Drosophila melanogaster: one gene and its partners. The protein of the gene in region 2 binds, or shares a complex with, the protein of the main gene of each other region. Each region holds a gene or a part of one and is shown on either strand. Other genes may lie near its edges.

Evidence for each region.
Region 1: Ada1-2 (region 2) and Spt7 share a complex: the UniProt entries of both Drosophila melanogaster proteins name them as parts of the spt-Ada-Gcn5 acetyltransferase (SAGA) complex.
Region 3: Ada1-2 (region 2) and Saf6 share a complex: the UniProt entries of both Drosophila melanogaster proteins name them as parts of the spt-Ada-Gcn5 acetyltransferase (SAGA) complex.

Annotation. Positions count from the first base shown.
Region 1 is NC_004354.4:17,848,348-17,852,098, forward strand, and holds Spt7 (Spt7), read left to right. Parts: upstream 1-2,112; 5' UTR 2,113-2,193; coding exon 2,194-2,336; intron 2,337-2,397; coding exon 2,398-2,500; intron 2,501-2,560; coding exon 2,561-3,394; 3' UTR 3,395-3,540; downstream 3,541-3,751. Other genes in the region: CG15814 (uncharacterized protein), read right to left, coding at 294-414, 472-707, 770-998, 1,067-1,363, 1,429-1,463, 1,561-1,608; CG32554 (uncharacterized protein), read right to left, coding at 3,541-3,751. UniProt on the Drosophila melanogaster protein: Component of the transcription regulatory complex SAGA, a multiprotein complex that activates transcription by remodeling chromatin and mediating histone acetylation and deubiquitination. The SAGA complex predominantly acetylates histone H3.
Region 2 is NT_033779.5:11,991,017-11,994,570, forward strand, and holds Ada1-2 (transcriptional adaptor 1-2), read left to right. Parts: upstream 1-1,885; 5' UTR 1,886-1,976; coding exon 1,977-2,776; intron 2,777-2,840; coding exon 2,841-2,967; 3' UTR 2,968-3,038; downstream 3,039-3,554. Other genes in the region: escl, read left to right, coding at 1-255, 314-503, 559-1,458; CG18789 (uncharacterized protein), read right to left, coding at 3,050-3,554. UniProt on the Drosophila melanogaster protein: Component of the transcription regulatory complex SAGA, a multiprotein complex that activates transcription by remodeling chromatin and mediating histone acetylation and deubiquitination. The SAGA complex predominantly acetylates histone H3.
Region 3 is NT_033779.5:814,148-817,898, reverse strand, and holds the start of Saf6 (SAGA factor-like TAF6), read left to right. Parts: upstream 1-1,948; 5' UTR 1,949-2,067; coding exon 2,068-2,424; intron 2,425-2,477; coding exon 2,478-2,624; intron 2,625-2,677; coding exon 2,678-3,656; intron 3,657-3,714; coding exon 3,715-3,751. Other genes in the region: CG15880 (uncharacterized protein), read left to right, coding at 1-655, 717-853; Pex12 (peroxin 12), read right to left, coding at 923-1,816. UniProt on the Drosophila melanogaster protein: Component of the transcription regulatory complex SAGA, a multiprotein complex that activates transcription by remodeling chromatin and mediating histone acetylation and deubiquitination. The SAGA complex predominantly acetylates histone H3.

The DNA of each region.
Region 1 (3,751 bases), on a different chromosome or scaffold from region 2:
AACCACACACAGAACTGGAAACCCGCAAACAGATTGGATGGCAATGGCATTCGTCTACAGATCTTTCATCCGTCATCGTCATCATGGTTCAGGTTCATGTAATGGAGTCGTGGAGGGGAGCGGGGGAATGAACGGCGACGGTACTAGTGGTGCGGGTGTTTCGCAGCCCCTCCAGGTTGGTCTGTCGTTGTTTCTCCATCGTCGTGTTTTCCGTGTGGTTTCATGTGCAGGACTTAATCCGAAGTGTGTGTGCTTGACTAGACGCCGAGGAAAGCTAGTGCCGGTATCAGGATCTACTCCAGTCCCAGCATCCAGTTGATGCCTTGTACTATGAAAAAGATGAGCGGCTGCCAGGCCACCAGCCAACGAATCCAATCCAGCAGGCGACCGTACAAAACGTGCGGCTTCTCCCAGCTAGAGGAGAAACAATATTAAGTAGGCCAGTCAAACGGATGGCTCTGAATGGCTTACGGATTGCGGAACATCTTCTGGAGATCGACCTTTTCCTTGCAGTAGGGACACGTCTGCTTCTTGCCCACAATGCACCAACCACGTATACAGAACTCGTGGAATACGTGGTTACAAGACAACTTGTAGGTGTTCTCAATGACGCCCTCTTCCTTCTCCGAGACCAGCAACTGATTGCCACACACTGCGCAGACATTCTGATCAAGATGTCGTGTTGGAATACCCTGAGGTGTGTAGTACTGTGGGACAAACGGGAGGGTTAGAAGATTCCAACTGGGTATCTGGCCAATGGTCAACTCACGCCAATAGCTGCCGCCATCTTATCCGAACATATCTCGGATATATCACGCCCCAGGACGCCGATGTACAGGCCGTAGAAGCAGAACATCAGGCCCACATCCATCCATGTGTTTGGTGGCTGTGAGAACATGTAATTCATGCCCAGAAAGGCGGCTATGATCACCAGATAGCCCACCAGGCCAAGGCCATAGCTGAGCTTGTAGATGAAGTAGAACCACTTGTAGACCAGCCTGAAATTGGATTTTATGGGTTATTATCTGGCCTTCGTCGGTCGCCGTTCTTATCTACGTTGACTCACCTAGGCGTTGTGCCCTGGATGGGCTTGCTGATGGCCCGTCGCATAACCAGTGCCGTGATGCAGGTGAACACCAGCCAGATGATTATGAAGCGCAGCCAGCCGAAGCTGCAGGAGATGATCAGCGGAATGAGCCACATGGCCAGCAGGGTGACGAAAGCGTAGGATCTGTAGTGCCGCTTCTTCCACTCGACCAGGATGATCTGGGCAATAACCAGGGTGACGAACAGAATGATCACCATCTCGGAGTGCATGGCATCGTGGCCGCGATGTTTCTCCACCATCAGTTGATGCTGCGCTCTGTTCGATTGGATAGCCGAAAATTTGTTATGATTTAAAGGATTTTCTAAGGCCACTTCACTTACCGCATTCGCTCCTCCGGCGTCATTTCGTCCAGGGACTGATGGACATCCGCATTAGCAGGGAATTGCAGGGAAGAGGGAAAATTTGGCAGTAGAGTGGGGCTTCCTATTCGATTCCCATTAGAAAAGACTCACCTTGTTCAAGTCCACGGGCTCATGCAGGTCCATGTGCTCCTGGTGCATCTTATTGCCGTTGTATCCGCCGTATCCCGCTGCCGCCAATCCGCCGGACAGTCCCACTCGTCGTCTGCGTCGCTGCGTTATCTTGCCCACCACGTATTGCGATCGGTTTTTACCTTTGAAATTCGTGAAACGAAAACAAATAATTACATTTTATGCCTGTGTGCTTGTCCAGCTGCAGTGGCGTTGCCATTTGTCACAGCGGCCGAAAAAACGAATACATGTATGTGTGACGTGAGCCACAAAAATACAAGCGCGACCTGATTGTTAGAACCAGCTGTCCTGAGTATGGGGTTTTTCCCAAATTGTTGCTATTTTATCATAACCTTTATTTACTTTAGCTACGACAGCGCTTTCTGATTATCGAAAACGAAACGTTCGAGGCCAACGTTGCCAGATGCCGCTGCAGGCCGTGCCGATGTTTACCGACAATCAGCTGTTTGGTTCAATGAGTTGAGTATTTCGTTCCCAGCGCAAGCAAACTTATCGATAGTCCCGATAACCAACCATGTTATTTTAGGGCCCGATAAGTAAACAACAATATATTGTTAAGTAAATGTTGTACGTAGGTTTTTAAGCGAAATAAACATGCAAACAGAGCACTGGGGCTCGCTGCCCGCAGAGGATGACGGCGGTCAACTGACGCCGGACAAATACGTGCCCACGGCGGCCAAGAAACTTAAGCTGGACGAGATTCGCCAGCGCGGAGATCCGCAACCGCAAGAAAAGCAGTAAATAAATCTAAAGAAAAGCTTTAACGCAGCCGGTAAACTAACCATATATTCCATGTAGCCACAAGTTGGAGCTGAGGAGTGCGCTGGTCACCCAGACCATCGAGGTGATGAAGCAAACCGAGGTGCTGCAGTCCCTCATTGAAACGTACTCCAACAAAAATGCAAGTTCTTGGTTCTTGTTTAACCGTAGTATTTACCTAATTTACCCAATGAATTCATAGGGAAGTTCCAATTACCTCTTGAATCCGTGCCTAATGATACCGGAAGTGGACTTTCCGCCGGAGAACGCAGCCGAACTGGTGGGCAGCCAAAAGTTTCAGAAGCCCATTTGGTTCACACCAACCGTGGACACAGCCTACTCTCGCGGGGATCCGGAGGCATATCCGGAGATCCCCAGCTCTGCTTGCCGCCAGGCGATGCGCAAGGTGATGTGCGGCATGCTGCGCCTGGCCGGCTTCACCGACTGTTCCGAGTCGGCGGTGCAACTGCTGACGGACGCCACCGAGGAGTTCCTGCGCAGCTTTATCGGCGAGTATCGCGGCTACTATGACAGTCAGCCGCGGCTGCAGAATTCCACGGTGCTGCAGCTGGTCCCACTGGAGCGCGCCCATTTCGCCCAAACGGGCACCTCGCTCACCCAGGTGCACAACTACTACAAGCACAAGGTGCTGGCCAGGAATCGCGCGGAGATCGCTGAGTTCAACAGCGTACTGCAGGAGTACGACAAACTGATGAAGGAGAGCCAGAGCAGCATGCAGAAGCAGCACAACGAGTTCAACGGCCACGACTTTCTCAACATCCTGGACAACAGCGCCACAGGCAGCAGCCAGAGCATAGGCGGCATGGCCATGGGCGATATGCTGCAGGATCTGGGCGGTAGCACGGGCTCCAGTGGCACAGTCAGCTCCCAGCAGATGCTGTACGGCCTGCTCGATGGCCAGATATCGTCCAATACCTCCAACATGACGGGGACGAGCGGCAATGGCAGCACGGGCGGCAATGGAAATGGCAATGGGGCCACGATTAGCAACTTTCACGCCACTTTTGAAACGTAATTGTTAAAATTGCGGGGATAACTTCATTATCTCACACTGAGATATCTCTAGCAATCAAATGTTTCACACTTTTTATAGAACGACTAAGATCTCTAGGCTCAAGTTAAGTTAAGCTCTAAGGAAACGTACTAATTAAATAGTTTTTATTACGTGTTTTGTTTATTGCTCATCTTTTTGCTAATCCTCGACTCGTTCCAGTTGTTTTGTCGCCTCCGCTTGGTGAACTCGTTGGTGGGTTCAATGGCCACAAGTTTGGTTGCATTCGGATCGCTGGCTCTGTACTGGAACACTTTGTCGTGGCGCGTCTTTTTCTGGGCCCACGCCAGCAGGTCCCTGCCTTCCAGTATGGAGTTGCCA
Region 2 (3,554 bases):
GCCACCGGCAGAGGACGAATCCACTGACCACTCTCCAGCGGAGGCAGTGCTGAGCAATAATTCCTCGAGTGTCTGCAATGTTGTGGAGCCGGATGATGAGCACGAAGTTAATTCCGTGGATCGGGAGGACACCGCCAGTTTGTTCAGCACTACTACGACCACCACCAGAAGCAAATCGCCAAATACACGAAAATTGAACCGCCTGTGTCGGCGGATCAAGGCACCCAAAATGGTTCAGCCCTTGTACAAATATAGGTGTGATTTTTCCAGGCAGAACATAAGTCATAATGTTTATATCCCGGATGCATTGCAGCTCCCATGTCCGCGAGGACCACAACCATCAGATCTTCGGAGTGCAGTTCAATCCGTTCCTGGACAGAGGCCAGCCGCAGGTGTTCGCCACCGTTGGCAAGGATCGGGTTTCCATTTATGAGTGCGAGAGGAGCACCGGACAGGAGTCCTGCGAAGGCATTCGACTGCTGCAAGTCTACGCAGACCCAGATGTAAGTACTCATCATATGCTATTACTTACATACATCATCGTTACGCCCTCGTTAGACCGATGAAAGTTTCTACACATGCGCTTGGTCCTACGACTCTGTGACCGGCGATCCTGTGCTTGCCGCGGCTGGTTACCGCGGCGTCATTCGCATATTCAATCCGGTTAAGCACCAGTGCAGCAAAAACTACATTGGTCACGGGCACGCCATTAACGAGCTGAAGTTTCATCCGACTAGACCGCAGTTACTTCTGTCCGGCAGCAAGGATCACTCCCTGCGCCTTTGGAACATTCAGTCGGACGTGTGTGTGGCGGTTTTCGGCGGCGTAGAAGGACACCGCGACGAAGTGTTGTCTGTGGACTTTGATTTGCGCGGTGATCGCATCATGTCCAGTGGAATGGATCACTCACTGAAGCTCTGGCGACTGGATAAGCCCGATATAAAAGAGGCCATCGAGCTGAGCTCTGGTTTTAGTCCCAACAAGAATACGGGTCCGTTTCCCACGATCAAGGAGCACTTTCCGGACTTCTCGACAAGGGATATACATCGAAATTATGTGGATTGCGTTCAGTGGTTCGGCGACTTTGTCTTTTCGAAATCCTGCGAGAACTCAATTGTTTGCTGGAAGCCGGGCAAACTTTCAGAATCGTGGCATGAGATTAAGCCACAGGAGTCGGCCACCACGGTGCTGCATCACTTTGACTACAAGATGTGCGAGATCTGGTTCGTACGCTTCGCCTTCAACGCCTGGCAAAAGATTCTGGCCTTGGGCAATCAACTGGGCACAACATTTGTCTGGGAATTGGACTGCAATGATCCCAATTTAACAAAGTGTAGCCAGCTGGTTCATCCCAAAAGCAACTCCACCATCCGACAGACTTCCTTCTCCAAAGACGGTTCCATTTTAGTTTGCGTGTGCGACGACAGCACCGTGTGGCGATGGGATCGCGTCAATTAGGATGAGTGTTTCTAGGCTAAAAGAATTTTCCTTATCCTTCTAAATCCGATACCATATTTATGTAACCATAGTTATTTTCAGTGTAATGTTTACCTTCAATATTAAGTATGTTATTATGCGTAGCATTTATATACAATACTCATTGTATTGACAATTTATGTTAAATTATGTTAAATTTTTTAACATTAACCAAGATATTTATTCTATTCTATTACTTTTTTAATGATCAAATAGCTTCGCAAATATTATCATCTTATGTTGTGTGAATGGCGTGGGCTCTATCTTTAATGTTTATATTTTAACTAACTAACTTGTACACAATAAAAACTGTGAACACTAAAGATTAAAACCAATATTTTTTTAAAGGGTTCTTCAAAAATAACGGTTTTTATCTCAAATGTATCTGGTATTTTCAGCCGTTCTTTGAACGGTCACTCGAATCAGCTGCATTCATTTGTTTATATAGCAATTCGCAAACAGTTGGATTTTCCTGTTTAGTTGTTATTCCCATTACTAAAATGCTTACCGACAGAGTTCTGGCCACCAAGGAGGCGCTAGTGGTGGCTCTGGGCGACAACTGGGAGCGTTACCGGGCCAACATGAAGAATTGGTTTCGGAGCCGTTGGACTAAGGAGGAATTCGATGCGGAGTCGCGGAAAATCCTAACACCTGACAAACTGCACCTGCACAATCAGTTCCTGCTCGCCCTGCTCAACAAGATCGACGCCTTTGCTCCCCTGGAGAATCCTCCGGCCGTCCAGACCAGCAGCAGTAGTGGCAACCGAAGCAAACGGCGCAAAAGAAGTTCCCGCACCTTCGCCGAACGCCTTAATTTTGAGCTCAGCGACGTCCTGGACTTTGTAGCCGAGGACAACATGCAAATCATTCGTCCGCCAACCACGATCGGTATTCCGTCGGACCAGCAACAGCAACAGCTTCAGTCGCAGCGGTACTGCGCGCAGGAACTTTTCCTGCCCGACGCGGGATTCATTATGGGACGATTTCTGATCGGTGCCTGGGAAATCGGACTTGTCTCCGTGGACGACAATGTCGCCGAGTACGTTGCCATGGCCGTGCAAGTTCTGCTCAAGGATCTACTATCGGCAATCATCAAGAAACGAAAGCACTACAAGACCAGCGGCGAGGGAAACTTTTACTACGATGTAGGTGCTCCGTTGCGTGATCCTTCGCTGCGCAACACCGTCACCCGGCAGAAGGTCGACGACACGCCGCTGGAACTGGACAAGGAACTGAATACGGCCAACTTTATGCGGCGACAGAACGACGATGTGACCTTCCTCTCCGCCTGCGAAGAAGTGTAAGCTCCTGAATAATAATGAGATTTTCATGTGAAACACAAACTTAGGTTTTGTTTCTTTCAGCCAACCCACCGAACGCACAGTAATCACCCTCAAGGACTGCCAACTGGCCTTACGGGATCGCAACCTGATAGGCTCGCATGCCGTCTACTCTATAAACATGGAACGACTCAATATGATGATGCATTAGCTTATAAGTTCTAATTATTTTATTATATCAGCTTCTGTAAAAATATATACATTATACGCTAGTGTACCATTAAGTGTTTGGTTCAGCAAAAATTCCGTGGAGGCGGTTTGAATGGCAAGGCACCTGGTAGAAATTGATCCGCCTTGAATGCTTCGATTTCCTGCTCGTTGAGATCCTCCATGCGACTGTAAACTGAGGACTGGATTTCGTTGGTCGGTTGAGCTTGCTGCTGCTGCTGCTGCATCATTTGCTGTTGCTGTTGCATTTGAAATTGTTGTTGCTGCTGCTGCATTTGTTGCTGTTGCATCTGCTGCTGCTGATGCATTTGTTGCTGTTGCATCTGTTGCTGCTGCTGCATCTGTTGCTGCTGCTGCATCTGTTGTTGATTAGGGAATGCAGATGCTGCTGCTTGAGCAAATAATCCGGAGGCAGCTGCCTGCTGCTGCTGTTGTAGTTGCTGAGAAGCCTGAGTAAACATTCCGCCCATATTTTGGCTTGCGGCTTGGCCAAAGATTCCCGTCGACTGTGGTTGCTGCTGCTGCTGTTGGAAACCACCGAAAGGATTAGGATTCACTGGCTGAGCTTGC
Region 3 (3,751 bases), about 11 Mb from region 2:
ATGCTGCACTTTGTGGAGGATCAAGCCAAGCTGTTGCCCAGCTCCATCAAGGATTTGCAGGCGAGGCGGCATTTCCGCATCCCAGTTGGTCCGATTCTCGCACTGGGGCTTCTGCAATTGCCCGTCTGCATGGTGTACAACCTGGTGATGGCCATCACCACGGACTTCCAGTCCACCACGTATACCACCTGTAATGCCTTCAACATCTTTCCCTCCACATCGGCGGCTGCCAAGTCTCAGCACAAAGTGTGGGCTCTGGCTTGCTACCTGGAGTTCCCATTTCTCATTGCCAGTGCATGGCTGCAGTTCCGATTCTATCGGAGGAATCTGCGCAGGCCGGTCCGAGGTTTCGGCTGCCTGATGGCCATCATTATGGCTGTCAGTAGTTCCAGCGTACTGCTATGGGGCACCTTCCCCCAAGAGGATGGCGACTCATTGCTGCACATAACCATCGCCTTGTCGCTATTCGTATCGTGTGCCATTTACATGGCAGGTTCCTTTGTGTGCGCCAAGTACTATATGAGCGATAGGATTGGGCAGCTGCATGAGGAATTCTCCTTGCGGTTGAAGAGCGGTCTGGTGCTCACCTACTACGTCTGGGTGGTGGTCATGTGGATTTTTTACTTTATACACCAGAAGTTTTGCTTTCCCTTGGGTGAGTAGAACCTAACCGAATGGAAGGATGTCTACAATTCTAATCCCCGGATCCTCTGCAGCCTACTCCGTATTCGGTATGGGCGAGTTCATCTCCTGTGAGTGCTTCTTTATCTATCTATGCACGGTCTACTTTGACTTCTACCACGTCTACATATGTTACGACCAACGTTTGGGTTTCTTCCTCAGCGAGATGTAAACAGTTCCCAATTCCTTATAAAATGTATTAAACAAAAACAAGCAAAAAACATAAAAGGAATGCTTAACGTTACGTCTCGTAGATGCGCACCAGGTCGTCCAGACTGATGGGATAGTGGGTGACCGGGCAGGTGCCGTGCTCCTTCATGTGGCTAACGATGCACTTCCAGCAAAAGACGTAGCCGGAAACGGAGCAGGCAGTGGGCGTCTGGATGGACAGCAGGCAGACTGGGCACTCTCCCCGCTGGGGAAGGCTCTGCTGCACTTCCTTGGGCAGCTGCTTTCTCGGCATCGCTTCGGGATTTATCAGAGTTCCACCCACTTTCCGCCGCTGGTCGTTGGAGTACCACCACTGGACGAACTGCAGGAAGAAGGCCAAGACCTCCAGCATCTTTAGGACCACGTAGGTCCACTGATCCTCTTTGGGAGGTTCGCTGGGATAGCGAAGGGTCAGCCCCAACAATCTGAAGATGGGCGAGTGGTTTGAGGCGTACTTTACGAGGTAAAAGAATGTGTGCGCCGCCTTGGCGGCATGGAAAGCATGGAATGCGCTTAGAAGGCGTTGCTCCCAGGGACTGGTGTCCTCGTGCCTGGTGATCCTGGTCCTTAGCTTCCGCTCCACGTAAGGCATGAAGGTTAGCAGTGTGGCAGAGGCGAACTGCTGCCTGCGGTTCAGCAGATCCCCAGTGGTTGTGACCGTCCTTTGCAATCCGTAAAAGCTCTCACCGAAAGAGGAGGCCCTCTTGCGCAGATACAGGTACTGCAGCAGCCAAGTCAGCAATGGCGACAGCTCCTCCTGAATCCTCAAACTCCCCCATAGTTTAAAGTCCAGGCGTAGTCCAAAGTAGTCGAATATCTTGCTCAGTGCCGGGTAAATCAGGTTGTCCAGCGTCTCTGACGCTGAAATTTCGAAGATCGACGGCACATTTTGAAGGTTCTGGCGCACATTTGCCGCTTCTGCCATTGTGTTTATAGCATTTAAATAAATGGAATTAAATTCGAATACCAATTATGTTGTTATTCTTATCAGTACTGGTGTTATCGGGCTTGGCTTGAAAACAGTCGAGTGCTCATCAATATATCGATAAGTCGTTGGCACCATCGATAGTTGGGTTAATAATCTGGCAAGATTTGTTTATTTTGTGGTGCAGCTTCGTTGTTTATTTACCAACTGTTGAAAATATATACATTTATGAATTATACAAAACCAAGAAGATGAAAACCTCTGGCGCCAGCAATACTGACGAGCTGAACAAGTCATCGCACAGCAAAGTCAGCAAAAAGTCCACTAAGTCGCGATCTAAGTCGGCGAAATTGGAGTTGACTGGAAAGAATTCCCTGTCGGCATCCGCATCATCCTCCATCGCATCCGCAGTGAGCGGGGGCGTTGCAGTGGGCAGCCTGCCGGCCACGCCCACTCACCTAAACATGGTGACAACGCCCACCACGCCAACATCTAGTCTGGGTAACTACAATCTGTTTGACGCCTCATTTGCGGTAGCAGGAAGTGGTGGGCACGGACTTGCAGGCGGCATCGCGGGCGCAGAAGCCTCTGGCAACTCCAGTCGAATGGTAAGGATGCCAATCTCAGGGCCCTCTTATGGTACAAGCTCTCTTTACTGTAGGGTCATCAGAAGAGCTATGCTGGTTTCGATCCGCGCAGCATCAAGATCTTTTGGGAGCAGCACGACCAGACCGATGTGGAACTCTCCCAGGATGTGTGCGCCCGTTTGGCGGAAGATGCCTCCTACAAAGTCTGGGAGCTGATCAATGTAAGTCGACCGTAATACACCTCTTTAATCCCTCTAACCTCTTGATCTCTCAGAATGTCAAAATATACTCGCGCCACTCGGGCGGAGTGGTGACATACGACCTGGTGAACGAAGTGCTAAAAGATGCCGATGTGCCGCCTATGCTGGGTGCGATGGACAGCGACTGGGACCGGATCGACTATGACGGCAGTTTTTACTTTCACTCGGATAAGATCTTCGAGCTGAGCGCGGAGTTTCAGAAGGAAGTCAATCTGTGCACACCTGATGATGCAGACTTTCAGAGCATCTGCCCAGTGGAGGATAAGCACATGGACCAACTAAGACAGTGTGTCCAGAGTCTTGTGACGGCAGCCCTTTTTGCGGACAGCAAATCCCAGACGGCCGCCGTCTGCCATGCTTTTCAGACACCCCTGATGGGATCTATCTACCGAGTGATTGTGAGTAAGATGGTCCAGTTGCTAGCCTTTAAGCAGCAGGACCATTTGAGCCAGCGATGCTGGCGACTGCTCCGAGCATGCAACTACAACGCCACTGCTAATCACAATGCCTGCCGGCCGGAGTACTTCAACCTGGCCGAGGTACTGGTCAGCCAGCTAATGGCACCTTACGAAACTATCAAAGCTCCACACGTCGACCCAGATCCGGGACAAACCACCTCCATCAAAATGGAGTTTGAAGAAGAACTAAAGGTTGAGCCAGACCAGTGCCATAATCCGGAAACCCAGGAAAATCCGGAGGTCATGGGAGTAGAGAAACAGGAGCAAGAACCCCAGATGTTTCCGGGTGAGAGCACCATGGAACACACAATCTACAAGCTGCAATCGGAGGAGGAGGAATTGAATCCTCAGCCGGAGGCGGAACACCTATCCAGCTACTTTGCCTGTCCAGTCGGCAATGGCCTGGTGGACGAGCTGTGTGAAACTATAGGACAGCTGGCATCTCAAAGTGGTTACCTACATGCAGAGTGCCTGTTTTTGATCAAGAGACGCCTAGCGAGATTCTTCGAAGGTCGCCACGTCAGCAGTGAGAGAGGTAAATCATCCTTACAATTTGTTAGCCTGGATCCTTATCTTTGGATTTCTTAATTAAGACTTTAGGTATATCAGTAGAGCAGTGCGCGGTCTCAT